Elephas maximus indicus: one gene and its partners. The protein of the gene in region 3 interacts with the protein of the main gene of each other region in a pairwise test. Links are inferred from orthologs where the notes say so. Each region holds a gene or a part of one and is shown on either strand. Other genes may lie near its edges.

Region 1 (7,578 bases), on a different chromosome or scaffold from region 3:
TCTGGCTATGCCACTTTTTTTTTTTTTTTTTTTTTTTGAAGAGCAAGCCAAAAACATTAGCCCAGAGTCTTGGTTCTCAAGAAAGTATTTGGATCACACCCGATTTTCTCACAGTTACCCTTGTGAAAGCAAAGTCCAGCCCACAGTATTTAAGCAGATTCCGTACTTCCATTCTGGCCTGAAATCTCTAATAATCTTCCTGCCACGTTTTGTTTTATAATCTCTGTTACCTCTACTTATTAATCCATACTACCAGAGAACGGTAGGTTCTGGAAAAGAATGCAAACCAGCCTATTTAGTTTCAGTAATAATTAGTTGATTAACTACAGATTTATCTGCTATGATGTATTTTATTAGAAAGTTGTCTATGCAGAATTGTCTGTCATATCAGAAGCCTCTATCAAGTTGAAGGCATACAAGCGAGAAGATAAAGGCAGCAAATAAATCAAAGATCATTTGGCCACTAGAAGAATATTTTTTATAAAACTATCTGAACAAGCATCCTGTAAATTTAACCATTTTTAACTGTCCCAAATCACAGTTGTTTAACTTGTGATTCAAGATGAGGCAAAAATAGCTGAGATATAAGAATCAGAGAAAGAGGAAACCCATGTAATTAAACACAGTGTTTAATATTAATTACATTTATAACACAACACCAGGCCTTCTTGGGAATACTGATGACAAGCTGTGTGAATAAAGAACCATCACTGATTGTAAAATAATGTGTCACTGGGCTCCCTTTAGCATTTTTTTAAATACAGAATTTCAAACGTATGTAAAAACAGGTTGAATAGTCTAATAAACCCCAATGTACCTGTTATAGGTGCTCTGGTGGCACAGTGCTTAAACGCTTGGCTGCCAGCTGAAAGTTTAGTGGTTTGAACCCACCAGCCACTCCTACCGGAGAAAGATGTGGCAGTCTGCTTCTGTAAAGATTTATAGCCCTGGAAACCCTGTGGGGAAGTTCTGCTCTGTCCTACAGCGTCGCTATGAGTTGGAATTGATGGGTTTGGTTATGGGTACCCGTTATGGGTTGAATTGTCTCCCCCAAACATGTATTGAAGTCCAGGCCCCTAAACTGAAAACAAACAAACCCGTTGGTGTCAATTTCAGCTCAAGTGGCCCCATGTGTTACAGACTAGAACTGCTCCATAGCGTTCTCTTGACTGTAACCTTTGACAGAGCACAAGGCTTTTCTTCTGTAGCGCCTGCTAACCTTTAGGTTAGCAGCCAAGTGTTAACTGTTTGTTGTGCCACGCAAACAACAACAAAAAACCAAAATCTGTTCTGTTTTGCCCTGGCGTACATTCTGATGCATAGCGACCCCATAGGACAGAGTAGAAATGCCTCACAGGGTTTCCAAGGCTGTAATCTTTACGGAAACCGGAAGCCAACTGCCACATCTGCTGGGAGGTTCAAGCCACCTTTCGTTTGGCAACCAAGCTCCTAACAACTGCCACCCAGGGCCCTTGAAATAGGGTTTTTGTTATGCTAATTAGGTCATACCCAGTAGGTTGGGCTCTAAATTTACTCATTTCTGAGTTAGGAAAAAAAGCAGAGCGGATGAAGACACATAAAAGGAGAAGAGAAAAACAGAGGAGACACATGCAGCCACAAGGACTTCTGGCAGCTACTAGAAGCTGAAAGACAAGGAAGGACTGCCCCTAGAGCCACACTCTGAATTTGGACTTGTAGCCACCTGAACTGTGAGAAAATAAATTTCTGTTCTTTAAAGTTTTTGTTATGGCAGCACCAGGTAACTCAGATAGTACTCTTCCTCAGCTTCAACCATTACACACTCATGGCCAAACTTGCCTCATTAATACTCCATCTATGTCTCTGCTTTTGTGTTATTTTGAAGCAAATTCAAGTCTCATTATTTTGTTTTTCAGTACACATTTTTGAAAGAGAGGGTATTTTAAAGTAGAACTATTATCAAACTTAAAAATTTATCAGTAACTTTAATTTCACTAAATATCCAGGAGCTGTTCAGTTTCCAATAGTTTCATAATTGTCATCATTTTCTTTTACAGTTTATTTGAAGCAGGATCCAAATAAGGTCCACTCATTGTGACTGACTGATAGGTCTCTTTGCTGTTGTTAGTAGCCTTTCACTCACAGCGACCCCATGCACAATGGAACGAAATGCTGCCAGGTCCCTGCCATCCCCACGATCAGTTGTGGATAAGACTGTTATTTATGATCCACAGGGTTTTCAGTGGCTGATCTTCAGAAGTAGATCTCGAGGCCTTTTTTCAGGAAGCTCTGCTGAAATCTGTTCAGCATCCTAGCAACACGCAAACCACCACAGATGAGTGGTGGCTGGTCATCAAGTGCATCAGCCAGGAATTGAATCTGGGTCTCCCACATGGAAGACAAGAATTCTACCATGGAACTACTAACGTCACCTGTGTCCCCGATCAATCCTCCCCAATTGTGATCAAGTTGTCTCTGACTCCAACTCATGGCAACCCCCCGTGTGTCAGAGTAGAACCGTACTCCTTAGCATTTTCGATGGTTGATTTTTCGATGTAGATCACCAAGTCTTTCTTCCCAAGCATTTCTGCGAGGACTCCAACAGCCAACCTTTAGATTAGCAGCCGAGCACGTTAACCATTTGCACTGCTGTGGAGAGCAAATCTCGTGGATTATCCCCATCTCCTGTATGCAAGTAGTCTTAATCTAAACCGATTGCAAAACATTTGTTCATTAACAATACCAAGTCGTAGGGAGGAAAAGAAGATGAAAGATGAGAGATGGCACGTGCAGAGTTGGGGGTGTGCATATATGGAGGTAACACGTTCTCTTAAAATAATATGCAGTGAAACTTACTGGAAATTGTTTTGTATAATCTTTCTGGTTGTCACCTGAACATTAAGTGAATTATGAGTGTTGATGGGATCATAATTTATACAATATTCCAAAAATAGTATGGTTTTCTGTGTATTTTTAAGGTCCCAAATCAGGCAGCTGGGCAGTCAACTGTGAAGCGACGGAGTGGTAAGAGCAAAGTGGGTAATCAGATGGTATTAGAAGAAATCTCAAGGTTTTTGCCTAGTCACAAACTCATTCCATAATCTCCCATTTCTGAGTCTTAATGGCCTTAGTTTTCTCTAATCCCTTCCTTCGGATCCGGGGAGGCTGCATTTTTTCCTCCCTCTTGGTAGGGTGCCTTTGGTAGTCATTTAAACCTGGTTGCACCAGCATATAACTTCTGGCATTTTTTTTGTTTGCACTTTGAGGATAAACTCCCTCATTGCTTCAGATTACACGTTTGTCAAAATGCCTTAAGAAAAAAAAAAACCCAAACCCACCGCCGTCCAGTGGATTCGGACTCATAGCGACCCTAAAGAACAAAGTAGAACTGCCCCATAACGTTTCCAAGGAGCGCCTGGTGGATTCCCACTGCCGACCGTTTGGTTAGCAAATGTAGCTCTTAACTACTACGCCACCAGGGTTTCCATCAAAACACCTAGAGACAAGAAAATTAAGTACTGCGAGGTCTGCTCTCTAAACAGGACATTCTCTGTCCCGCGTGAAATGTTGATATAAAAGCAGAATTTGCTTGGGCAAATGTGGGAAAAACCTGTTGAATTGCACTCCAAGACATGGGCATTTTCTGCTCGCTCTCACAGCGAGACGCCACGAGAGTTGGTGGGTCAAGGGCATGCATTTCAGATATGATTAGTCACTACGTGCTGGCCATATGGAGCCGCAATATTTAAAAAATCAGGAAAAGTTATTGTACTTCCTTATTCCAGTGATGGTGTTCCGTTTCGTTTTTGGCATTTCCACGAGCGTGAGAAGTTATTTAAAGTACGTCAACTAATAATGGCCGAAGCTTTGGGAACTCCGTCACCGGCCTCAATACGGTGACAAACGGCTCGGCGGTTTCAGATTACTGCTTCTGGAACACGAAAACATAGGCCCAAATCAGCCTTCAGCCCCTTCAGAAACAACCGAGAGAAGGTCCACACTCAGTGAGAAGCGCTAACACGGCGCAGCTTGCAGTGTGATCTCAGTTCACGCCGGGAGAGATGACTCCGCACTTAAAACTGCCCCAGGTCGGACCTCGACACGGGCCGGTACAGAACACGTGACCGGCCCTCCTCCGCGGCCATGCCTGTGTAGGCTGCTGCCACCGCCCCTGTCACATTCGGAGCTCCTCCAGCACGGGGCGGCGCGGAAACGTCTGCCACGAGGCAGAACAAGCCAGCTTTAGATACCCGTGTTACTAGAATTCGCGCCTTTCCCACAAGTGTTTTGCAAGTTTCTCAACCCAAATGGGCTTCCGAAGACTTCCGCCTGAGTGCCAACCACGTGATCACGCGATACTTGGAGAAGCCACAGCCCCACTTCACTACTCCTGTCCCCGGGCTCCGCCCGCCCAGCACTCTCCACGGCGCGTGACGACGCGGCCCGCGGCGGCCTCCGCCCCGGCGCGCCTGCGCACGCGGCTCTCGCGGTGTCTCGCGCTCGGCCCCGCCCACCTCTGCCCCCGCCCTTTCCGTCCCTCCCTCCCCCTCCGCCCTGTCTCTCGGCGGAGCGGCGGCGGCGGCGGCTCGCGCAGCGCGTTGGCTCGCTATATAAAGGGGAGAAGCGGGCGGACCGGACGGCTGGAGCTGCAGCCGGTGGCAGCAGCGGCGGCGCGGGGAGCGGCGACCGGTGGTGGTTTCCCTCCTTCGCGCGGGGTGGGGAGCGGGCAACGCCCCCCGGACCCCCGGAGGGTCTTGGTTTTTTTTTTTTTTTTTTTTCTGGGGGAAGGCGGTTCTCGAGGTTTTTAGCCCCGGGAGGAGTGCCCCCCCGCTCCTCTCTCCGCTCCCCTCTCTACACCTTCGGGATCCGATTTTACAATTTTTCCCAGTCGTGCGGTGGCTCGGGTCACCTCCGGGTGTTTTGGTTTTGCTTTTTCTTTTTTGATTTTGTTTTTACCTTGTTTTCTCGGGGTTCACCCCCCTCTTATTTGTGTTGTGTGTGGAAATGGCGAACTCGGCAAACACAAACACCGTGGTAAGGACGTGGTTCGGTGGCCGGCGGGGGCTTCATGCAGGCGGCAGCAACGGCCGGACCGGGCGGGGGCGGGGACGGCGGCGACACCCGGCCTCGACTCTCCTCAGCCGCCCGCGCGGCCGCCGCCGCTTCCCGCCTCGGGCGGACCGGGCCGGGCGCCGGGCGCGGGCGCGGGGGGGCGCCGAGGGCTCGCGCGGCGGCGGCGGCGGCGGCGGCGGGAGGGGGCGGCGGCGGGGCCTGGGGCGGGCCGGGCCGCGGAGGCGGTTGGCCGGGGCGAGCGCGCGGCCCGGCCCCAGACCCCGGCGCCGGGAGGGAGGAGGGGAGCCGCCGCCTCCCCCGAAGTGGGCCCGTCCGAGCTCGACGAGGGCTCCCCGAGCACCTCAAAACAAAAACCGTGTCTGGGGAATTGGGCCAGCCCCAAGCCCCGCCGCGGTCCACTTGAATGCAGTGGAAGGCTGATGCCACTTCGGGGGCTAGTCTGGGTTTTCCTGGCTTAGGCTTTGGGACCCTTCATTGGGGCCATTTTATGTCTAAGGAAAACGGACGAAGGTTGAAAAGTACTTATCTCGGTTCCTTCCGAATCGGTAAAATGGCGAAGGGGAAGCAAAACCCCCATCGGATCTCCGACTAGCAAAAGCACCAAAACAAACAAAAAAAAGCCTACAGTGGTCAAAGTGCCCCTGCTTTCGCCTTAAAATTTGCCTCCTTCTCCCCCGTTTGCCCATTTTTTGGTTACTTGCGATCACGTAGGTTTGCAAAAAGCAGTCACATAAAAAACCTTTTCAGTCCCCAACGCAATGTGATCACTAGTCCCCCCGACTCTCTTATTTTTATTGTGCCAATAAAACACGTCTTTGCCCGGTCCCGAATGCCGCAGACCAGCCCGCGGCCGCCCGACACCGTACCGTTGGCGACTCGGGTCGATCCATCATGGCTGCGGCCGCTTAGCCTGCTTTTCAGTCCCTGAGCCTTGTGGTCCTCCTCCCTTTGGCTGCCCTGTTTATATAGAGCCATTGCCGCTCTCTAATATAGACTCTGCCAGGATGGGAAGGTGCTTTTCAGGCCTACGTCACCGCCTCTCCATTTAAACACCAGATCCGGCTTTAAATAGTGAGAGCTGCTGCGAGCAGGGCTGGGAGGTTCGTGCTCCCGAGGCGAGAGGCTGGCGTGTGTAGAGCTCAATTTATTCCTGGGTCCTTTTCTTAACGCTGTAATCTCGCCCCTCAGGGGGGCTGCTTTCAGAGCCTCAGATGTTTTGATGCTGCAGCTAGGGTTTGCTTTCTTTGGTTTGCCAGGGGAAAACATTCCGAATTACTATCCCTTCTATTTTTATTTATTTTTTTTAAAGAGAAATTTTAAGTAACAGGGTTTAATCCTATTTCTTGTACTGGAAGGTGTGTACCTTATTGTCGGGAATTTAAAAATGCTGTCTATATTAAGTGTCAGCTGCAGAGGACTTGATTTGGGAAGGGATAATTTTATCAAGTATTCAGGAAACTTAGAAATCTAGCTCCTGATATTTCATATTTTTTTATTGTTTCAATATGTTTTCTGCTAATATCTGAAGACAGAAAGCTTTTCAGAGGTCATAGATAAGTGGCTAAAGCTTTACCTTAGGATTTTTTCTCCACGGTAAATTTATGTGTAGGGGAATTGTGAGTCACGAATGAGGAGATTTAGTGCAAACTGGATTTTAAAATTAAAAATCTAAGTAGATTCCCTGTATTGCATTGGATGATAACATGGTATCCAGTATAAAATTAATCCAGTTTATTTTCCAATGTTGCTGTGCATTCTGGGTTTAAAATTCTTTTAATTGCTATAATATGGATGTTTTTGTCAGAAGTATATAACTTGAATCATTTTGTATGCCCAAGGAACCTTCTAAGACTTTTGAAAGGAACCTTCTAATTAATCACTTGGTAGTGTCACTAATTGCCCTCTAATTTACCAGTTTTTAAGTTTGGAATATCTCCTAAATTGCCTTGCATTAAGTGCAAGAAACACTTTGGCTCAAGTAAAGTTTAGAATTTTAAGTAATGGCCTGGATATTGCTCCACAGGGTCTCTATGAGTTGGAATTGAATCGAAGGCAATGGGTTTGGTTTGATTTTGGTTTTATATCACATAGTGCCTGTGCGCCCATGTACTTTAAAATAAAGCATCAATATTTTGAGGACTTTTCAACTCACGAGCAATTTTCCTAAGTTGTTATTTGTGTATATACTTCATGAAGAATACATATTTCCCTTCCTATTTTAAGTGTTCAAGTCATAGGTTCATTTAATGTAGAAAAGGAAAGCCTTAAGACAAGATTGATTAATTAAATTGCGAGTACCAGAAGATAGCGTATTTCTGTCTGTAAATGTCTGTATCTTTAAGCAAAAGATTTTTAGGGTTAACGGACTTCAGGAACACCAAAACATCTCATTTGCTGGCAAAATAATTTGTATTGTCAATTTGAGATTTATGCTACAAATTTAAGAATACCTGCTTCCTTTATAGTGCCTCGAGGGGGTCATTATTGGTTAAAAAAAAAACCCCACTTTATCCATGTAGTTTTGTA
Region 2 (7,319 bases), on a different chromosome or scaffold from region 3:
CGATTCAAAATGGGGGCCATCTGGAGGACAGCATCCACCTCGCCGACGCTTGGGGACTGGCTCATGGTCCTCAAAGCCCCTATCAGGGAGGTCATAGATATCATAGAGATCATGACGTCGTCCTGGCAGGACTGGGCCTGTTGAGCCCCCACCACCAGTTCCTCCTACACCCCGAGCATCAAACTCAAAATCTCGTTGCAGGTGACGGAACTTGCACTTAGCTCCTCTCTGGCAGTCCCCCTTGAGGAAGTCACGGCAAATAGGGACTTCTTCCTTGCCATTCGGTAGGTCAGCTGGTGAAAGGCCCAGGCCAGCTGCCACTTTCTGCCTCAGCCGAGGGGGAAGCTCTCCTGTCTTCTTATAACCATCCTCATCCTCTTTGGAGCCATGGATGAATCGGCAGTTTGGGCGGCTACACTCCTTGTTCTGGAAGTCATGGCAGAAGATGAACTCATTTTTGCTTACCCCCAAGTTGGACACCTCGCTCATGTCTGGATGGCGATAGCGACAACGTTTGCCTCGCTTGCACACATTCCTCAGGAAGTCTCTGCAGATGGCATCTGAGTTGGCCCCAACACTGCCTGCCCCCACCCCACTGGCTTCCTCGCTGCCACCGCCTCCAGGGCCTCCACTGCTGCTCCCTGTGCCGTTGGCATAGCTGTCCCGGTCAGGCATCCTGGTTCCCCCCAACTCAGGGCTTTCTTCCTTTTCTTGCCACCCTTGGTGACAGCTAGGAAAAAGGAAAGCTGTGTCAAACAGGAGTCCTCTAGAAAGGCTACCACTCTTGCAGGGCAGCCCAGCATGAGGCAGGCCAGAGGGGAAACTGCTTTGGAGATAGAGAATCTAAGGGAAGAGAATTCTTGTTTGGACTGGCTGTTTGTCAGACGTCCCTGCCCAGGCCCTTGTGCACCTAGTCTTGGTCAGAATGATTCACACTTGCCTGGCTAACGGAGAAGGGAGGCAATTGGGATGAAGCCACCTCATCTCAATGCTGACAGGCGGTCTGAGGAGGGGGAAGGGAGAGAATAGTGTTGAATTTTATCTCACTTCTGACCTGGCCTTATTAAAGTTGTAGAAGTGAAATTAAAACTACTGTGGGTATCTAAATAAGCTGTGAGGAGACAGGGAACAGTGGTCAAAATAGGCTGGTGAGCTATTAGGGATGACGGGGCACTGGTAACAAAACAACATCCCTTAACCCTTCTTCCATGGCCCCTGTGTCAGATCTCTAAAGCTCAAGAAATCCTGGGTGAAGACTGGTATGACCAGTTTGAGGGCAGTTCCTAAACTTATGTATTGTCTCCTCACCCAGCAACACTCTCAACCCATGAAGACAGCCTCCTTCCACTCCCCTTTAAAGGAAGGAGTGCTATAGCTACAATCTCTACTTCTAGGCCCCAGGACAGATCCACCTGTGAAACGGCCAAGGTGGGAGGAAGGAATTAATTCCACAGGAACAAGTGACCTTTCTTTCCCCATTCTACACCCTCTTCCTGCCCCCCTCCCTATGGGAAGATCCCACTGACATCAAACTACACCATTCCTCACCCCATAAAGACCTGCTTTATATACAGACTCTATAAAAGCTTTTTAAATCTCTTCTTTCTCTAGAGAGCTCAGGAATGTCAGTCCACTGACCCGGTTCTAACACAACCACCACCCTACCACCCCCAAGACTGTGAGACTCTGCTACCACGTGTCTGACCGCCTAAGCTTTTCCTAGGCAGTGTTCAGGCTCCCTCTGGTGTCCAAATAGGAAAACTTCATATTGTTTCCCCATGAGTATATAAGGCTTTCCTGATTTTTTGGGCCTTCGCTCTCCCCAGTTGCCTTGACTTTACCTTCAAATTCCCCTAAAATGAACTGATCAGACCAGAGGCCAGAATTACTAAATAATCTATAAAAGAAGACGAGTTCTTTACCTCCAAAAGGAAGTAACCCCAAAATAAAAGAAACAATCAAGAAAAGGGGTGGTAAAAGAGAAGATAAAACTTTTACTGAAAAGGAAATCACCAAGTGAAGAATAAATTATCATCTTTCCAAGCCTGACCCATGAAGCAAGTTCACCAGAAGCAGATAATCAGATAGGACATTCCTTCCCACCCAATTCTCCCAGGATTATTCAATACCTGAGGTAGCTCAGGTGAAGTCCGGAGCTCCTGTGGGTCTCCACCTCCACATCACTGCTGGGTTCTGAACAGGAAAAAAAAAAAGACACTTGGGTGGGAGAAGGGGTAAGAGTGGAGGACGGTGGTTTGTCACAAGAATAAGTCTGACAAAACGGCAAGAGCTCTGGACACTTCAAAATTTCCTTAGGGTTCAAACTGCACTTCTTCACCTGTCAAAGGGAGATGTCGCCAGCAAGAAGAATAAGCGACAGAACTAATTTGGAGAAGCTGGGACGATGGGATGGAAAACGAAGAATGAGGGATGTGCCCTGCAGGCCTCAAGATGGAGAATGTGGGGATCAAACCCCAGCCTAGAGTTGGGGTTAGGAACACCGAATTCGGAGCTGTAGAAGGGCAGTGACTGACAGTGCAGTGGATGGCAGATTAGATTTGGGGATGGTGATTATGACGCTTGGTAACATCCCAGAGTTTGCCCAAAAAAAAAAAAGTTCTACGAGTTTCCCCACAGCAAGTCTTCCAGCTTGGCAGGTTCCGTGAAGCGCCGCCGGCGCTCAGCCGTGGACCAGCTGGATAGGACACTACGGGAGCCCGAAATGGAGGGGGGGGGGCTCCAGGTGACATCAAGCTGAGGGGATGGGCAAGGTTGTGACGTCACGGAGCTGGCGTTTGCTCGCGAAGCGGGGTCACTCAGAAAAGAGGCTCGGCCTTGGGGTGTGAGAAAGAGACAGCTCGTTCCTGGGGGGCCATGTGCGGACCGCCCGAGACCAACCGCTGGGCCGGCCCGACTCCTCCCCTCCGGGCGCGGCCTCCACCTAACTCTCCCGCCTCCCTCACCTGCCGCCACCGCCGTAGTTGCTGCTGCCGCCTGCCGGTCCTCTAGCTTCGACAAAGAGCCGCCCACCCAATCATCCTTCCGCTTCCTGCGGAAGAAATGACGCTCTAGCCACCAGACCCGGAATTATACTCTATGGCGTGTTAAGTATTTGCGCGAGCCACAGGAAGTTCCCAGCAACCCCTGCGAGTCACCATGGCAACCCGATCAAAACAGCCCTGCATCTCCTCCACATACCGTTGCCCCGAAAAGAGGCGGCAAATTGGAATCGCCATTACTCCCAAACAACCCGGTAACCTATCCCCAGGCGTGTATTACACCCTTTGCCGAAAGGGCTTCTAAGTATTGGCTTTGGGGCCCGGGGCTGCAACCCACGAACAGGGCTCTGTAGCTGATGGAGTTTCTTCACATCTTCCATAGCACGGGTCACTAGTGACACGGCAAACAAAATGTGATAATCCCCAAAAGAACCGTAAAAAAAAAAAAATCACATATAACAGACAAGAAGATTTGGTTCTTCAGCCAAAACAGCAGAAGAGATGATTTATTGTGCACATGTTACACTCAGCCACAACTGAGAACAGAACTAGTCCAGACTGTCATAGGTCCAGGGCAAATATCAAAAGGGTCTGATTTAGTACAAGCAAGGTGGGCCCCTCGAAGGTGTTCGCAGCGATCAAATGGCGATGGAAATTCTAGATCCACTGAGATAAGTTCCAGACAGTAGCATGCAGTCAGCAACTTGTACCAGCGTCCCTGGCCTCCGACATTCCATATTCCTGCTGCTGTGGCTTCCGTGTGTGCACACGCTAGCGTTTACTTGGACCTCTGCCTCATCTTTCTTCTTTTGCGCTTCAGCCTGCAAGTAGATAATGAATACATTAACTCCTGCCTCCAAACCTATGGTCAGTTTCTCTCCCACTTATGTACATAAACAAAACAAAGAAAAAAACCACCCAAACCCGCCGGCGTCGAGTCGATTCCGACTCAAAGCGACCCTCTACTACACCGTAGAACTTCCCCGTAGTTTCCAAAGGGCGCTTGGTGGATTCTAACTGCTGACCTTTTGGTCATACAACACGTGAAATGGTAAAACGAAACAGCAATACGATTTTAGTTTTCACTTCCTGGCTCTAGCAAGTCAGTGCATTCAATTTTTTTACATTCCTAGACCGAATGCCACCCGCCCCCCAAGTTTTACCGAAGGCGTGCTCCCGTCCCGCTTCCAGTACTGACAACGCCTCAACATACCTGCGCATTCGCTTCTTCCTCCACTGCAACCGATCGTAACAGAGGCAGAGAATAAAACAAGAAATCAGTAGTTTCAGTAACAGGTTAGGTAGGGGTATCAAAAGCCCTTTCAGTCAGGTTCTTAAGTAAGAGGGCTTGGTCGCAGCAACTGCCATCAGTTTGGATCCCACGATGTAAACCCGCATCTCACCTGCAGTCTTCTACCCCTGCCATCTCTCCCCAACTCCTCTGCTTCCCACCAAACTATCCTTATCCCAGGAGCTCCTGGGCACTTTTCGAGAACCCAGCGATTTGGGTACCATGGCGGACTTCGCTAGTTTACCCCACTCGCCAATCCCTACCGACTCAGTTCACTGTTCAGGAATCGCTCACCTTGGCTCTCATGGTCCGGAGGTTTCTACGGGGAAAGAGAAAAAAGCTACAGTTAGTTTGCTGAGATGATGGTTACGTGCAGCCGCAAGATGTTAATGGATTCTATGCGGACTCCACACTGTAGAAACACCTACCTAACAAGATGGCGCTAAGGCCGAGAGAGAGCCCGAGTTCCGCCTACAGCTATTTTATGGAGCATCCAGTGTCGTCACTTCCGCCTCCCGCCCCCCCGGGGCGGGGCTGCCTGAGTGAAATAACAATCTCTCAAACAGCAGGTGGTCGAATTATTGAGCTGAAGCGTTGTAGACGCCGTTAGTTCTCTCGTTAAAGAGTATCTGGAATTCAAATTACCAAGCCCCCCTGCCCCACAATTTTCATTACGCCAACACTGCATTATATAAGGTGAGCGTCTCCCAGTATGGTATCAAGGGGTGCGGACAAGAGAGTGACCTCCGCCTCCTTTCTCATTGCCTTATGGGAGTTGCAGTTACCTGGCAAAACCCTCCATTTTATTCTGTATTGGTGCCTACTGTGTGTACAAAATTCATCATTTGCTTTACGGGTTTGCCTTGTTTTCTAAATTAAATTGCTGCAGGGAAGTTCAATATCGTTATTTCCGAAGGTGCTAGATGCCAGAACATTGAAGGATGGGAAATGGAGAGTGGGGAAAAGTCACTATTAAAAATCAACTTCCTAAAACTCCTAGAGAATAAAATAGCCAGCTATTAGGAGCTTTTTCCACAATGCCTGAGGCAGAATGTCATTAGCCATCCCAAACTAAACTGCCAGGAATTTGTTGAGAATAAGTAATTCCCCACCTAGGGATGAAGATAAAACCAACGTACAGAGGGGAACAAGCCAGATTAGCCAAGTCGTAGTGATTAAGAGGAAACCCTGGTGGTGTAGTGGTTAAGTGCTAGGCTCCTAACCAAAAGGTCAGCAGTTCGAATCTGCCAGGCAGTCCTTGGAGACTCTATGGGGCAGTTCTACTCTGTCCTATAGGGTCGCTGAGTCAGAACTGACTCGATGGCACTGGGCATGGGCAGTGATTAAGAGGTTGGCTGTTAAACAAAAGGGGTGGCAATTCGAATCCACCAGGCCCTTCTTGGAAACCCTATGGGGTCGCTATAAATCACAATCGACTTGAAGGCAACTGGTTTCTCCAGAGCAAGAATGACATCTGGTGTTAAGAATTTGCCAGGACCATGGTGTGGTTAGGTCAGAATCATCAGAGATTTGGTTTCAGGAAACTTGAATTACGAAGGATGAAAAAGAACTCAGCATAGATTTTACCTTGTTCAATGTTTAAAATACTGTAAAATCTTGTGCTATAATCCCTCCTCCTCCCTTTTGATGGTTTCCCTTTCGTATTTATAGAATAACATTTCACTTTTTTAACTCGGGGAAATTGAGTTTTTAAAAATTTACAGTCCTTGTTACAAGTGTTTAAGTAGTTCTAGTATTGTCACCATCAGAGTGTGACAAGGTTTTGAAAACATATATATTTAAGAAATTTATATATTAAGTCCATCAAAATTTCCACGGTTAATTGCCTACTAATCTGTTAAGATCTGAGGGGACCTGTGTCCAGTCTTGTTCATTGTAATACCTCCAAGTCACCAGTGCCTCACATGTAGTAAGGTATTCAAATCTAATGAACAAATATTCACTCAAGCTACCTGGCCCTGAAGCAGAGAGCAGTATAAAAAGGCTTGAAGACTATGAATTTCAACGCCTGATTACGGAACATTAAAAACTAAAGCATCCTTCCTGGGTTCCTAAATTAATACTTGTATAGTGTTTTTTTTTTCTTCTTCTTTACAATACACAACATAGTGTCCTAGTCCCAAAGTGTCAACAGCAAGTAGCACATTGCTACTTTAGAAAATTAAATCACCATCAAACTCCCATTTCCTATATGTAATTTACTATGCTGTAATTCAGAGAATCCAGGATTTGTGTCTTCCCCAACTCCAAATATTCTTTGACTAGGAGGTAGATTATGGCACTGTAGAAAAACAGTTCCAACTGATGTTCACTTACTCAACCGGTACTCCCCACCTCTGTTTAAATAAGAGCAACATACAAATGCACATCAATATGACCAAATCCAAATTTATTTTAACGCCATCTCATTCTCAAGGTGTTTAAAAACCTCATAAATTAGTGGGAGCCCTAGTTTCCTGGGGCAGCATGCCAGAGGTACTGAAATTCATCACCTTTCTCTCCAAACCCCCAGCAATTCATCCAATCCAAGTCCACAGCTTCAGAAAGCCAGGAGTTGTTTCTTCAGTCAGTCTGCTCCTCCAGTTCCTGGTCTTTCTTTCAAAGGGGAGAAGTCAAAATATCTCAGACAAGAAACAAAACCTCAGCTGAGCTTCCAGCTCTTGTTTGCGTAAGATGAAACAAGGGAAGATCCCACTGACTCCAAAGAAAAGGACATGGTTGAGATGGATTACTTCTTTACAGCTTTGTGAAAATGAAAAAAAAAAAAAAAAAAAAACCTGCAGAACAAAAATGACTAAAAAGATTTACAAGTGAGAATTCACTTGATAGACAAGAATCCCTTTGTAAATGCAGGCTCCGGCTCCTGAAAATGGGAGAGGCCTGACCAGACAACCTGGACAGTAAGAGGAATCTGCCACATGTGAATAAAAACAATCTGAAGAATAGCTCCTCTATTTTGAGGACAAAATACTTTGGGGGAGTGAGAAAGAGAGGAAAAAGCCCCAAAA
Region 3 (7,727 bases):
GAGATTAAAAAGAAAATTTTGACCACGGTTTTAACTTCGAAGTGTCTTTAAGCTTAGCAAAGGAATAAAAACCTGAACTGGAACCATAAGAAGAAAGTTATGTGGGAGTTTGGAGAATGGAGATTTCTTCTAGCTGGAATAAATCAAAGAAAACTTTAGGAAAAGGTGTCACTTGAGCTGCGTAATATGTGAGGATTTAGGTATGTGATGATGCGGGAGGGGGTGGAATACTCCAAGTGAAGGGAGCAGCATAAACATAAGGACAGAAAAATTTCAGTACATGAACAGTAGACTAAAAGGCCCCATGTCGTGAGCAAACTAAAGACCAGACTTAAAAAAAAAAAAGAAAAAACAAATTCTGACTCATGACGTGTTATGAGTAGAACAGGGTTCCATAGAGTTTTCAAGACTGTGTGGGACCTTTCAGAAGCAGATCACCAGGAGTCTCTGGGTGGGTTCTAACTACCAACCTTTAGGTTGGCGCCACCTGGAGACAGAGGCCAGACTTGTCTCTCAAATACCAGGCTAACAAGTGGAGGTGGTGACCAGACCGCAATTGCCTTTTAAAAAGATGCCTACTGCTGGTTTTGAAGCGACCAGATGTAGCCATCTTTAAATACCAAGGTTAAAACATCTACTCTAAGAGCAAATATAAAAACATTTTGGGTCACACTGCACCATCTATTAATCTGGATAATGTTAAGGATTAAATGAATTTAGAAAATGATTAAAATAACACACAAAAAAAACTTCTGCTAAAAGGCAAAAACAAAAACCTTCCTTAAAGTTTTAGAAATGGAAAGAACATTGGATTAGGTGTCTTCCGAAACTTACCAGTTGCATGATCTTAGTAAACATCATTATAGAAAACAGGCACCACATAATGAAGACCTACTTTATGTGCCAGGGACTGCACTAGGTGCTTTACATTAGTGAAAAACTTCTTAAAAGTCCTCAGAGAAAAATCTCCTTTTCTTCCCCCAAATTCAGCCACTGTTGTAAGGTACACCTCACAAGTCAGAACCTTGTTTTTCAATTTTAGAAAAAAAAAAGAACCTTCTAGATCTCTTCTACCTGAACTTCCAGACAGGATAACTGCTTCCTAAAAAAGTCTTTAGCAAGATATACACGGCATTTTACCAATGGGCTTTTCAGCCCAAGCTCTCCTACTGCCCCATTCCATCTTCTGCCTCAAGCACATTATGCTTCTACATATACTTCTCTTTGCCAGCAATGCTCTTTCATTCTTTTCTGTCTGAAGAAATCTCATCGTCCTTCAATGCCAACTAAAAGTGTGGCAATTTGGGTTAGAAGCTGGCGAAATGGACTCGAAAAGAGTGGAGGGAGAGAGCCGGCTGCTGTCTCATTAGGGGGAGAGTAACCGTGAGTGTGTAGCAAGGTGTAATAGGTTTTCATGTGAGAGACTGACTTGACTTATAAGCTTCCACTTAAAGCACAATAAAAATTATTAAAAAAAAAAAAAGTGTGGCAGTGTTAAGTCTTAAACCAGAGTGTTTATAGCTCACACACAAGTACCTGCACAGGACTCTGAGCTTAGCCCCTGGATAGCACTAACCGTTAAGTCTCAGTAGTTCACCTTCAATCTCCACCACGCAGGAATGGTTCTCATTTACTCTTGCCCTCTCCCTCCCCATCATCACATGAATTGATGTCTGGCACATATGAACTACTCAATATTTGGCTGCCAACGGAGATTTCCTCTCACCCTAAAGAAAACGCCACAACACTATTAATTCTATAAACATTTGATAAGAAAAGGTTAAAACCGGCTTAGAAAACATACTAGAAAAAACAATTCAGGAAACGGCTATGGACTGAGTCAAGCCTGACACATTCAAAACAATCCAGAAAGCTTAAAGAATTAGTATATTCCCAAGGGTGGGAGACTTCACAAAATGAACGAAGGATAACACTAATAGGAAGAAAACTTATATGCAGCCTCGGGGAAAAAGAATGCTCAGGGCTATCCCTCTTCTAAGACTGAGGTTCCAGGCGCCGAATGGGCTGGCCTTACAACCGGGCAAGAAAGGGAGACGGCTCGGTTGGGCTCCCTGACGAAGAAGGTGTGCGGTTCTGCCCCGGTGAGCGGGGCGGGGAGAAGAGGAAATGACGAGCCAAAAGGGGGTGGTAACGGCGCGGGGCCGGGGACCCGGGGCGAGCGGGCTGGGAGGAGGGGCGCGGCTGGGCAGTGGGCGCGCTAACGGACCCCTCCTCGGATCAGGGAGGCGGCGCGGGCGGGCCGGCCCGCTCCCGCCTTCCTTGGGGCCCTGTGGCCAAGGCGCGTCTACTCCGGGTCTCCCTCCCGACCTAGGGGGCTGCAGACACACAGACCCGGCTCACAGAGGGCTGGGGGCGGGGGGAGGGCGGCAAAGGCTCCGCGGAGAGAGTTCCCGTCCCGAGGGCCGGACCGCCGAGAATGCAAAGACGGGTTTAAGTTGTGAGACCAGAACGACCAGGAGGAAACCGCCGAGGCCTGGGGCGCGTGTGTACCTGAGCGTAGGGGCATTCGTGGCAGGAAACCCTCGGCCTGGGACCTGAACACTTGGCCTAAGGGTCGGGGGAAAGGGAACGCATCCCCAACCGGCACTGGCACCCTGCAAAGGCCGGGACCTCGAGGTGCCCGCTCTCAGGGGCGCCATCCCCGCACGGGGCGGCCCCCTGCAGGCCTTGGCCGGGAGTGCCCGAGGCAGTCGCAGGCTCCGGGCCGGGGCCGCCGGCCGCCCGGCTCGGCTAGGCTCAGCTCGACTCCCGGGCTCGACGGGCGCCTGGGCCTCTCCTGAGTGGTCAGCGAGACCCGCCAATCGGGGCGCTGGGGCCGGCTCTGGGCCGCTGGATATTGGCTCCTCACACTCACCGTGCCTCGCTCCCCCGGTTCGCTGCCCGCGCTGATTGGCTCCAGTACCGGACCCCGAAACCCAATCAGAGGCTCCAGCCGCCGCTGCCGCCGCCACTGCCGCTGCCTCGCAAAATGGCGAACCCGAACAAAGGGGAATCGGGCCTCCCTCCAACCGTCTCCGCGCAGGCGCCTCTAAGGCCACGCCTTCTAACCCCAGTTCTTGGCTCGCCCCACCCCCAGTTGAAGGAGCACCGCGCAGGCGTCCCCGGAAGCCACGCCCACTTCCCTGATTTGACACCACCCCCGGCTGAAGGAATACGCAGGCGTCTTCATGATGCGTCGGACACCTCAACTCAAACACCGCCCTTAACATAGTATCACGCAGGCGCTAACTAGCGCATTTATTAGCTGCCCATCCCCTTCTTTGCGGCCACGGGAGACACACCCCTGGTGCTAACGCGCAAGCGTCGCTCTTCCCAACTCGCGGCCGGCTTTCTCGTTACGCATGCCCGGGCGGCGGCGGCCGACTCCACGGAATTTACCGCCGGAAGTTCGGCGGCCATTACCAAAGAGTGCCGTCTCGGCTAGCTAGCTAGAGAGGCTCTTTTCCGCTCCGCTACCGGGTGGTGGGCAGCCATCTTAGGTGCGTACAAATAGGGGTGTAACGGGATTGGCTCCGCATCTGGGCTTGTCCTCTGCTCCGCACCTACCAGGGCAGGATCCGGAGCCTTTCCTCGCGGGGCGGGGAGCTCTTAGCGGCTGACTCCTTTCCAGGTGAAGGGGACCCCGGTGATGTTGGGGCTTTGAGCCAACTTCCCCATTCCCGCAACGGGACCCCAGGATAGACCCTATACCCTCGCTGACCCGCCCTAGGGTAGCCAACAGAGAAGGGGAGGCTTATCTAGAGCCTTCTCGCCCCGCCCCCGGTAAAAGGGGGGTGAACCTTCCTTGAGAGGCCGCCTTTCCACTTCTCCTGCCTGCAACTCAGCATGTCCTGGCCCGTACACTTTCTTGTTGCGGTTTATTGAGACTGTTGCCAGGTCCTTCCCATTTTCTTCTAGGTCAGACCCACTGGGGAGGTACTTTAGCGTCATGCAAAGAAAAGGACTATCCTAAATCGGCCTTGCTCCGGAGCGGGTGTGGAGAAAGGAGGAGGTGTGTCTTAGGACCGCCTTTGCTTCCGCTGGTGCAGCGGTCCACTTCAGAAGCGTGAAATGAAAGTGGGCCAGGTATTTTTCCTATTCCTTGCCCCAGAAGAGTTTTGTCTTACTTCCTAGAGGTTGAGCGAACTCACCTTTAGTGGTAAATGTTGGAGAAAAAATTAAATGAGTGAGTGGTCAGGGCAGTCAACATCTTTCAGACTGCCTAAGCATAATTATCGCGGTCCTGGTGGCGCAGTGGTTAAGCATTTGGCTGCTAACCAAAAGGTTGACAGTTCTAATTCACCAGCTGCTTTTTGGAAACCTTATGAGGGCAGTTTTACTCCGTCCTATAGGGTCGCTATGAGTCAGAATCGACTCGACGGCAACGGGTTTGGCTTTGTTTTTGGTTTAAGCATATTTATTTCCTTTTCCCGTTTCATAGCTGAAGAAACACATTCTGGAAATAGCGACTTAGTATCATGGCTGGCAGTCCTAATGAAGATTCAGAAGGAAGCAGAGTGCGTAAAAACTATTAACTTATTGGTGAACTGAAATTCAGAATAATTGAGGTCAAAACATAAACACTTTTTAATTAAACCAATAATTGAATTGTCTTTTCTTTTTCTCTTTAGTTGATTTACTTCACAAAGGCTAATACAGTCCTAGTCAGGGACCATCTATCACTTTCCGTTTCCCAGGCTTTAATTCGTTGTCTTTAACTCCTCAAATTAGATTCTGAGAATTTGGTTTTGAAGTCAGATTACTGGGGTGGGGGGAAGGGTAGTGATGGAGGACCTGGAGTAAAGGAAAATGAAAGAAGCAGCTTAGTATTTTTTCCTATCTAATAAGACTTTTTTTTTTTTTACACATTTTAGATCACATACATAAAAGGAGACCTTTTTGCATGCCCTAAAACAGACTCTTTAGCGCACTGCATCAGTGAGGATTGTCGTATGGGCGCTGGGATAGCTGTCCTCTTCAAGAAGAAATTTGGAGGGGTGCAGGAACTGTTAAGTCAACGTGAGTTTTGAAAACAAAGTGTATATGTTCTGCTCTGGTTAGAACGTCTTTTGATCTGTTAAACTTTATTTAACAAGATACAAATGCAAAAACGGGGATCCTAATGGGGCGAAATATCCAATAAGGAAGGTAAGCACTGTGCTTACGTTCCTTACCGATAATCTGTAGTGAACAGTTTCACTACGGATGAGTAAGTAAGCCAATGCTTACCTTGCTTACTGGGTCACTCACCCCTGTCAGGAATCGTTAATTTAAAAAGAGTCTTTGATTCTGTAGGAAGGTGCCAGCCATGCCTAGAAGTAGAATCTTTGATGTGAAAAAAATGTGTAATTGTTCACTACAGATGATCTGGCAAGCGAGGTAAGCACTGTGCTTGCCTTGCTATTGGATAATTTGCCCCTGATACTAACCACTGAGTATGTTTAACTATTTAGATTAAGATTTTCCCCCACAAGAACGGCATCTAGTTTGGGCCCTTATCTCACCAAACGTGAACTTTGTAAAAGTTCTAATGGCTTCTTTTTCTAACATAAAACTTTAAATTTATCTTTATATACTTCTTTGATAGTATTTCTCCACTTCGCTGAAACCTTTAATAACTCTGAAGTGGTTAGCAAAGTCCATAGGAATTAGCTGAGCATTCAGGATCCTTTATTTACTGCTACTCTAATTATTCTTCAAAGAGGAGTTTAGAAATTCCTCTTCCTTAACTCCTTCTCCCCCATTACTTTTTACCAGTGATTTTAAGCCAGAAATGTACGTTAGAACTATATATGGAGCTTCTGAAACCATACTGACAGTTGCTCAGACCATGTTCCAGGCTTACTGAATCAGTCTCCAGCAATGATTCTGATTCTAGCCTTAGACAAAAGTGATGTCTTACTGGTTGGTGTTGTTTTTTATAAACATGATGCCTTTTCTGTATCAATAATTCCTTAGCAGTTAAAAAGCTTTTTATATATCTGTGTTCCCCATAACGCTTAGCATAGGTCTTTGTATGTAGAAAGTTAATTATTGAATGAAAACACATTTGGCAAGTAAAAAATGCACATATTTTAAAACATAACTTATGGGTAATAGACTTTAAAATTTTTTAAGAGGAGACTGAAGTATATTTGAGATTGGGGGCAGGACAAAAGATGGGGTGGGAGGAAAACGTGATTGCAAGAAAGCTGAAAGTTCAGACATATTATTTAGAAAGGCTGAAGTAGCAAAGTGTTCCTGGGAAACAGTAGGTTTCTTCAGACCTGAAGATTATTTCTGGTTCTGAGAGATAAACCTAGATCTGCAAAGATTAAAAAATCTAAGAATGGAGATTGGCGTTTTGGTTTTCTTTTTCCTTTCTGCTATTAAATAACTTTTCTTCTTAGAAAAGAAATCTGGAGAAGTGGCTGTTCTGAAGAGAGATGGGCGGTATATATATTACTTGGTAAGATGGGGCCAATTCTCAATACATGCTAAAGACTGGTGAACAGGTGGGTTACACTGCATTTGTGTTGGTCGTGATGCTGCACGCTAGAGAACGAAGGATGTCAAAAAGCTTCTGCTGTCCTGCCAGCTCAGATCCAGTGGCATTGGCTCTCTGGAGCACTGTGTTAGAGAGGGATGTGAGGCTGGGAAAGAGTACTGTGCCATCCACTGTATGCATGTGTTCTAGGCATGTGCAGAAGTTAGAGATGCCCCACTAATCTCTAAGCCAAACCGTGCTTTTAATTCTTTTTAATCATGGTGAGATAGGAACAATAATGTCTCAAGAGACAGTTTGGCCAAAGGGGTTTTTCTCGCATCCTGTATCAAAAACAATGCCAGGTAATACCTAGCTCTTCCTTGGCCTTCTGCCTGAATGTGGGATTCTTCAATTGTTCGAGGGGTCTGCAGTCCCAGAAAACCTGTAGCTTCCTTAGAGGTGGTGTTGGGTGACTTACAACCAGCCCACTACAAGCCTGATGAGGACGGCAAACTGAGTGGGGGAGATGTTCTGCCCTTTGAATGCTGTCTTCGAGGCTGATGTTGTGGGCTCTGGTAACTTCCAATCTTTTTAGCATGTTTGGGACACTATCGGTTTCTCCCTGTTCTTCTATAGAGAAATGAAAAGCAAACACAGTTTCTAATAAACGTTTTTTTAACAAGTAATTTTCAAATGGTATGGCTTCTTCCTTGTTACAAATATGCAGTTTATCTTTTGAAAGTAGCACAAAGACTGTCTACGTTGCTTAAAAACAGTAGACAGTAGGCATAGCCTGTTAATCTCATGAATTTCCTAGGAAAAGGAAAGATTCTTACACAGCAGCATCTGGGTTTCTTAGGCTCTGTTTAGAGGATTTTCCTGAGGGTTTCCCATAACAGTATGGAAGGGTCAGTATGACATTTGCCATCTCTGCTCTAGAGTAACTATGGAAATGAATTTATTGTAATTATCAGGATGTCGGGGGAATGTGATGGCTTTTCATGGGCTATCGTTTTGGACTAATGAAAGTTTGAATCCTTTTTTTGTAAGTAGATTACAAAGAAAAGGGCTTCGCACAAACCAACTTATGAAAACTTACAGAAGAGTTTAGAGGCCATGAAATCCCACTGTCTGGAGAATGGAGTCACCGACCTCTCCATGCCCAGGCAAGGAAATCCAGGGCCCTGAATTAAGATTGAACTGGTTGGGGGAGGGAGTGTCTCCTACTCAAAGACAAAGGACTTAAAGGTTTTATTTAACC
Region 4 (6,944 bases), on a different chromosome or scaffold from region 3:
TCCTTTAGGGAGGCAATAAAGGACCAAATTCGTTGGCTACTTGGAAAAGAAGTTAGTTTTTATTTTGGAAAAATTAACAGGTGTATGGTCTTGAATGGACGTAACCAATTTTGGGGGCCACGTTATTTCATCCTTGACTGGAACACAATCATGTATGTGGCATCTATGGCTCTTAGAATTGGGGATCCCTGCTGAGTCTATTCACAATGGTTTCAGAGCAGTTTTCAAAATAATAATCATCTGGATAAGCATTCATGCATGACTCTCCAGAACTCAGAGGGTTTGAGGGTAAAAATGGCTTTTAAAAGTTCTTCAGTATTTGTCATAAAGCTACTTGGCTGAATGTCTCTTGAGGAAGAGCGAGTGCCATTTCTATGTCTGTGTTCCAATAACAGTTGTTGCTGCCACTGGGCCTCACCATCTGGCCTAAAGTTCCTTCTTGATTGGGTACAGGCCTTGAATGGGATGTGGGGGACACACCCCAAATTTCCCTGGTAAGTCTTGGCAAGTTAATTGAGGAATATTTTCTTTGGAAAATCCATTTTTCCCACAAAAATTTAGATATTGGTTTTGAAGCCAATTCTTTTTTCATTAAAAAAAAAATTTTTTTTTCCTCTTTATGTATTTATTTGCCGGCCCAGACAAACTTGACTAGAAAAGAAGCCCGGGCATGGGATAGGATGAGCTCATGACGTGGCAGGAGCTCCAACCAATTGAAAGACCACGAAAGGGGGCGGGCGGAAGTGACGAGACGTATCCCTCCGCGGGGCGAGAGGGTCGGTGGGGGGAGTCTGCGTTTCTCTCCCCCGCGCCAGCTCCCGTACACGGAGCCGCATTCCTTGGCCCCCCCACCCCCTCCCTCGGGGCCCCCCGCCCCCCCTTGGGAAAAAAATCCACCTCAATTCATTTGAATCCGAGGGAGATTTCTTTACACCCGCGGGGAGACGAGTTTTCAACGGTTCCTTCTTCTTCGTCTCCCCCCAAAGCCCCGTCCCCTCCCCTGCTCCCACCCCCTTCTCCCGGCGTCGGGTGCAAGGTCCCTTTAAGGCGACGGCGCCTTCCTCGGGTCAGAGTACCGGCGGCGACGACCACGGGAGGTGAGTGAGCGAGCGAGCCTTCTCTCTCCCCACCCCTTTCTCCCGGGGGTTCCGTTATCTTTTCGCTTGGTTAGGCGTTCCGAGGCGAGACAATGAGCGGGGGATGGGGCGGGTACGCGAGGGGGTGGGGGCGGGGGGGCCGGTGGCGCGCGCCCCCGCACATCGCGAGTGGCGGCGCGGCCCGCGGCAGTGGCGGGCGTGGGGTGCGGCGCGCGCGCGCGTGTATGTCTGTGTGTGCGTGCGCCCCCGGAGCGGTGCAGCGGCCGGGTGGTGGAGGCTTCTGCCTGCCTGCCGGCCGCCCCCGCCCCCCGGCGCGCGCGCGCACTCGCGTCCCACGGCTCCACACACATCCCGACGTCCACACGCACGGCGGGCGCGAGGCGTCTCGGAGGAGTGGGCGGGCGCGGGCGCGTGCAGCGGCCCGCTGGGGAAGGGGCGGGGGTGCGGGCGGCGGCGAGACGGCTGGGTGTTGGCGAGGGGGCGAGGCCGCGCCGGGGAGGAGGGCGGGCGGCGCTGCGGCGGGAGGGGCAGCGGGGTAGCGTTCCCCTTGGGGGTGGGCGTTCGTTCCTGGTCCTTTCCCGCCCCTGCTCTCTCTTGAGGAAGGAGAGGGGTGGACTTGGAGAGAAAGAGGAGGAAAAAGAGCGATTGCTGAGACGAACCCGTGTGTTATGCAATGACTACTCCTGTCTAATAGTACATCCCAACCCTTAGTACGTTCCAGTTAGTTTACAGAGTCCCCTCCCTCGGACTCAAAATGTCTTTAGGGATGGCGCCGTGATTTATAAAATGAGATGGGGCGGAGAATCGTTATATTCTGATAATTATATCCTGCCGCCGTGGGCGCCATGTTTAACTCAGGGACTATTTTCTCTGGATTGTTAGCACCGACTGAAAAGGGCTGGCGTCGTTATCCACCTGCTTTCCATCTTTTTTGCTTGCTGTCCTGATTTTCCTCTCCCGCCAGTCGCGGGATTTCTTCAGACCGCTAATGAAGCTAAAAGTTTCTTTGCTTGCTTGTCTCGGGCGTTCTTAGCTCAAAAAAGGTAGAGCTGAAAAGGGCTTTGTAAATCGTTTAGCCCAATCTCTTTTTTGAGATTGAAATTGAGATACAGTTGTAGTATTTCATAACAGCTTTCTTGTGGCAGACCGAGGCCCGGCCCTCTACACTCTTTGAGACACTCCTCTCCGCATCTGAAAATCCCACAGAAATGGGGTTTTACTTTTAAAGGAGTTTTCCCAAGTAGTTGAAGGAGGAACGGTGGGGGCGAGAAGGGCAGTTTCTTGGTGAATGACAATTTCGTGATTCGATGGGCTTAGGACTGGGAAATTGGATTCTGAATTCGAACTGCTTAAGCAGAGCCGTTCTTCAGGGTGCATAAAAAGTAAATGGGAGGTTGCTAAACATGCAATTTTGGGGGCTTCATTTCCAAAGACTATTTGGGTGGAATGGAGCCGGAGTGTCATTTTTCCTGCCTTTTTAACCTGCAGCCCCTGAGATGACTCTGCTTAAGGTACCTGCCACATAGAGAATTATTGGTCTAGTATAAAGTTGCTCAAAATACAGTTAAAACAGAATGAAATGGCAATCTATGCCCTTGGCTTCCCTCCCCTTTCCTGACCTATGTTGGTGGTGTATCCCAAACTGAGAAACTAACAATGTGATTCTTGAGATCAACAGGACTTGCAAGAGTTTCAACCTTTTCCTTGAACCAGTGTATAACCTAGGAAAAGCAGTTTTCAAAAGGTGGTCTGCTCACCCCTGGGGATCCCAGACCATTTCAGGGAAGCCAGGAAGTCAAAACTTTTCAAAATAGTTTATTTATTTATGTTTTTCGTTCACATTTGCGCTGATGGTCCAAAAACAGTGTTGGGTAAAAGTACTGGTGATGCTGTAGCACAAAGCAAGGCAGTGGCACCAGACTCTACTGGACTTGAGAATGTTCTTTATGAAACAGTAAGCATTATTGATTTTATTAATTCTCAACCCCTGAGTGCAGTCTTTTTAAGGATCTGTCATGAAACGGAAGGTACGTATAAAGCACTTACGCTGCTTACCAACGAACAATTGCAGAGGAAAAGCACTTGTGAGATTGAGTTGTGAGCTGAACCAGCTGCTTGTTTCATGGAACAGCATTTTTATTTGAAAGGACAATTGACAAACTAGTTTTTCAGACTTGATTATTTGCTGGAAAATGAATGAAGTGAGCAGCATGTCACTTTAGAAAAACAGTTGACAGTATTTGCTAACCAATGATAAAATTCCAGTGAAAAGTGGAATTTTAAAAAACTTGACAGCTTGAATTTTGACAGCTTCCCAGTGCTTAAAAGAATTTAATGGTAGTATCAGTGATTAGGGACTGTGATTTTTTTTTTCAACTATTGTGTAATGAAATATGCCAACATTTGAAAGATCAAGATTAACATAACTCAGTCTGTTTCCCAGATGACCAGTGCATAATGCTATAAAATCGCACGTGGGTTAAAAAAAAAAAAAGATCATTTAAAACGGCAAGATGGACTGGTAGATTTTAATGTAACGGTATGAAAGGTTGATTGATAAGGTTTCAGATGGTGCAGTGTATACCTTAAGCTACCATTTGTTGAGTTTTCCTATTAAAGAATGTCCACAGCTATATGAACAGATTATTAAAATAATGCTTTTTCCTACTACAAATTTGTATGAGGCAAGATTTTTTTGTACTTAACCAAGACTACATATGGCGGCAGACTGAATGCGGAAGGAGATGCGAGAATCCAACTGCCTTCTGTTGAGCTATAAACAGAGGTGATCTGCGAAAGTGTAAAACAATGTTATTTTTCTTACTAATTTTTTTTGAAAATAGTAATTTTTAATGAAAATGTTTTTTATGGTAACGTGTAATAGGTTTATTCGTTTTGAATGAATTGGTATTAAAATTTTTTTTTTAGTATGGTAAATATTGGAAAATATAATCCCAAAAAATAAAAGCTCACTGGGGTCCTCAGTAATTTTAAGAGTGTAGAGTGGTCCTGACACCAAAACATTTTAGAATCGCCGATATAAGGGGTAACTTTTGGGCCTGTTTTATGTTTCTGTTTTTTAGATCACCCAAATCTGCCTCCATTTAGGAATTTCTGAAGATTTTACAGATGTTACTTGGAGTTAATACTGGAAGAGGCAGTGACTTGGGGAAAAGTGTAGGCTCTAGGGTGAGAAAACTTGGTTTGAATCCTGGTTGGGATTCTAACCCAGGGTGGTGGGGAGGGCGGGGGCAGTAGTGGTTCGGTGGTAGGAGTCTCTCCTTAGGGCAGGAGACCCGGATTTGATTCTGGCCTGTACACCCATGCTCAGCCACCACCCGTCTGTCAGTGGAGGATTGTGTATTGCTGTGATGCTGAACAGGTTTCAGTGGAGCTTTCAGACTAAGACAAACTAGGAAGAAAGGCCTGGCAGTCTACATCTGAAAATCAGCTAGTGAAAACCCTGTGGATTACAACAAGTCCAGTCCACAACTGATCATGGGAATGGCACAGGATCGGGCAGCATTTTGTTCTGTTGTGCATGCGGTTGCCATAAGTTGAGTTTACTCGACAGTAGCTAACTACAGTCTTGGGCAAGTTACTGAATCTGCTAAACCTCAGTTTTGATCTCATCTGTAAAATAGAGCACTTAAGGCATACTGTTGTTAGGAGAATTTACTGAGATGAGGAATGTGTGAAGTGCTCTACAGTGCCTAGCATATCAAACAGTAAAATAAATTTCAACAGTGTGTTTCCATTTTTATTCTCCGTATTTGCCCTTTTTAATTAATTTTCGTTGAAGGTAGAAATTCCTGATATAAAATTAAAAACCCTAGTTTGGTGCCTCTGTCATATTATCAAGCTGTCTGTCGTAAGATTTGATAGATTCGTTGATATTCTGGTTTGTGATGGTAAGCCATATCCACAAGAATATATATCTTACATGTAACTAAGGGGAGGAGAGAAGGGAGAGAGATTAACCTATTGCTAGGACTTAACAGTTAAATTGAGCGAGTAGACATGGAACTTAGCGTACAACTGTCAGTAGAGAAAAACTTTGTATGATAGGCAATGTTTTTGGGAGAGAGACTATAAAATGGGGAATTTACTGATGCTTTAGTTGCTCTTTTAATAAAGAGCACGTAACTAATATTTGGTTGCTTTTATTTAAAAAAATTTTTAAAGTTTCTGTTGTGAAATACATGTAACAAAACATTGGCCAATTCAACCATTTGTTCTTCAGTTCAGCCATTTTTGCATGTACAATTCAGTGACATGGATTACATTGACCACGTTGTGCAACCATTAATACTTTCTCCACATTTTTCATCACCGTTAACAGAAAACTCAATATTCTTTAAGCAGTACCTCCCATTTTCTCCTCCCACCTGCCCCTGGTAACGACTGATAAACTTTGGTCTTTATGCATTTGCCTGTTCTAGATATTTCATGTAAGTGAAATCATACAATATTTGGCCTTTTGTGTCTGACTTGTTTTGCTCAGCATAATGTTTTCAAGGTTCATCCATGTCTTAGCATGTGTCAGAACTGCATTTTTCTTTATGGCCCAATAATATTCCATTGTATGTGTATACCACATTTTATTTATTCATTCCCTCTGTTGATGAACACTTGGGTTGTTGCCACCTTTCGGCTATTGTGAGTAATGCTTCAGTGAACATTGGTGTACAAGTATCTGTTTTTGATTCCCTGCTTTACAAATCTTTTGGCTGTATATCCCAGAAATCACCCAGTGCCATCGAGTCGATTCCAACTCATTGCGACCCTATAGGACAGAGTAGAACTGCCCCACAGAGTTTCCAGGGAGCGCCTGGCAGATTCGAACTGCCAACCCTTTGGTTAGCAGCCAAAGCACTTAACCGCTATGCCACCAGGGTTTCCGTGGCTGTATATATAGGTGTGGAATTGCTGCATCGTATGGAGATTCTATGTGTAACTTTTTAAGACCGTTCATGCTGTTTTCCACAGTGGCTGGACCGTTCTACAGCCCCACCAATAGTGAATGAGGATTCCAGTTTCTCCACATCCTCACCACACTGGATATTTCTGTTTTTCTGATAATAGCCATCCTAGTGGGTATGAAGTGGTATCTCATTGTAGTTTTGATTTGCATTTCCCTAATGACTAATGGAAGGAGCCCTGGTGGTGCAGCGGTTGGAGCGTTCGGCTGCTAACCAAAAGGTCTACCCTCCAGCCACTCCACAGGAAGAAGATGTGGCAGTCTACTTCCGTGAAGATTATAGCTTCAGAATCCCTATGTGGCAGTTCTGCTCTGTCCTATAGAATTGCTGTGAGTCAAAATCGACTTGACAGCATTGGGTTAATGACTAATGGGAGTCCCTGGGTGGTGCAAACGGAAAGGTTGGCGATGTCCCCATAGAGGTGCCCCACAAGAAAGGTCTAGTGATCTGCTTCTGAAAAATCATGCATGGGAAACCGTATGGAGCACAGTTCTACTTTGACACACATGGTGTCACCATGAGTCAGGATTGACTTGAAGGCAGCTGTTCTTCAATGATTAATAATGTTGAGCATCTTTTTATGGGCTTGTTGGCCATTTGTATGTCTTCTTTGGTGAAATGTCTATTCAAATACCTTGCCATTTCTCAATTCGATTTGCCTTTTCGTTGTTGAGTTCTAGTTATTTGTATATTATCGGATATATGGTTTCCAAATATTTTCTCCCATTCTGTAGGTTGTCTCTTTGTTGATAAATTCCTTTGATGCCCAAAAGTTTTTAATTTTGATGAAGCCCAGTTTATTTTTTCTTTTGTCATTGTGCTTTCTGTGTCGTATTTAAGAATCCACTGTCAAAAACTAGATCCT

The links.
Region 1: the proteins of NFYA (region 3) and GTF2A1 interact in binary tests that used the Homo sapiens proteins (3 or more experiments, as listed by UniProt). The two-hybrid records come from large-scale screens. The link is inferred for Elephas maximus indicus from reciprocal best matches to the Homo sapiens genes NFYA and GTF2A1.
Region 2: the proteins of NFYA (region 3) and ZC3H10 interact in binary tests that used the Homo sapiens proteins (3 or more experiments, as listed by UniProt). The two-hybrid records come from large-scale screens. The link is inferred for Elephas maximus indicus from reciprocal best matches to the Homo sapiens genes NFYA and ZC3H10.
Region 4: the proteins of NFYA (region 3) and POGZ interact in binary tests that used the Homo sapiens proteins (3 or more experiments, as listed by UniProt). The two-hybrid records come from large-scale screens. The link is inferred for Elephas maximus indicus from reciprocal best matches to the Homo sapiens genes NFYA and POGZ.

Annotation. Positions count from the first base shown.
Region 1 is NC_064828.1:94,359,184-94,366,761, reverse strand, and holds the start of GTF2A1 (transcription initiation factor IIA subunit 1), read left to right. Parts: upstream 1-4,537; 5' UTR 4,538-4,983; coding exon 4,984-5,013; intron 5,014-7,578. UniProt on the Homo sapiens protein: TFIIA is a component of the transcription machinery of RNA polymerase II and plays an important role in transcriptional activation. TFIIA in a complex with TBP mediates transcriptional activity.
Region 2 is NC_064822.1:116,075,007-116,082,325, reverse strand, and holds the start of ZC3H10 (zinc finger CCCH domain-containing protein 10), read right to left. Parts: upstream 3,042-7,319; 5' UTR 2,964-3,041; intron 2,194-2,963; 5' UTR 2,130-2,193; intron 731-2,129; 5' UTR 676-730; coding exon 1-675. UniProt on the Homo sapiens protein: Specific regulator of miRNA biogenesis. Binds, via the C3H1-type zinc finger domains, to the binding motif 5'-GCAGCGC-3' on microRNA pri-MIR143 and negatively regulates the processing to mature microRNA.
Region 3 is NC_064819.1:105,459,454-105,467,180, reverse strand, and holds the start of NFYA (nuclear transcription factor Y subunit alpha), read right to left. Parts: upstream 3,017-7,727; 5' UTR 2,876-3,016; intron 2,859-2,875; exon of another isoform or gene 2,512-2,858; intron 1-2,511. Other genes in the region: ADP-ribose glycohydrolase OARD1, read left to right, coding at 4,479-4,517, 4,875-5,019, 6,390-6,448, 7,520-7,632. UniProt on the Homo sapiens protein: Component of the sequence-specific heterotrimeric transcription factor (NF-Y) which specifically recognizes a 5'-CCAAT-3' box motif found in the promoters of its target genes.
Region 4 is NC_064821.1:185,499,445-185,506,388, reverse strand, and holds the start of POGZ (pogo transposable element with ZNF domain), read left to right. Parts: upstream 1-3,903; 5' UTR 3,904-6,944. UniProt on the Homo sapiens protein: Plays a role in mitotic cell cycle progression and is involved in kinetochore assembly and mitotic sister chromatid cohesion.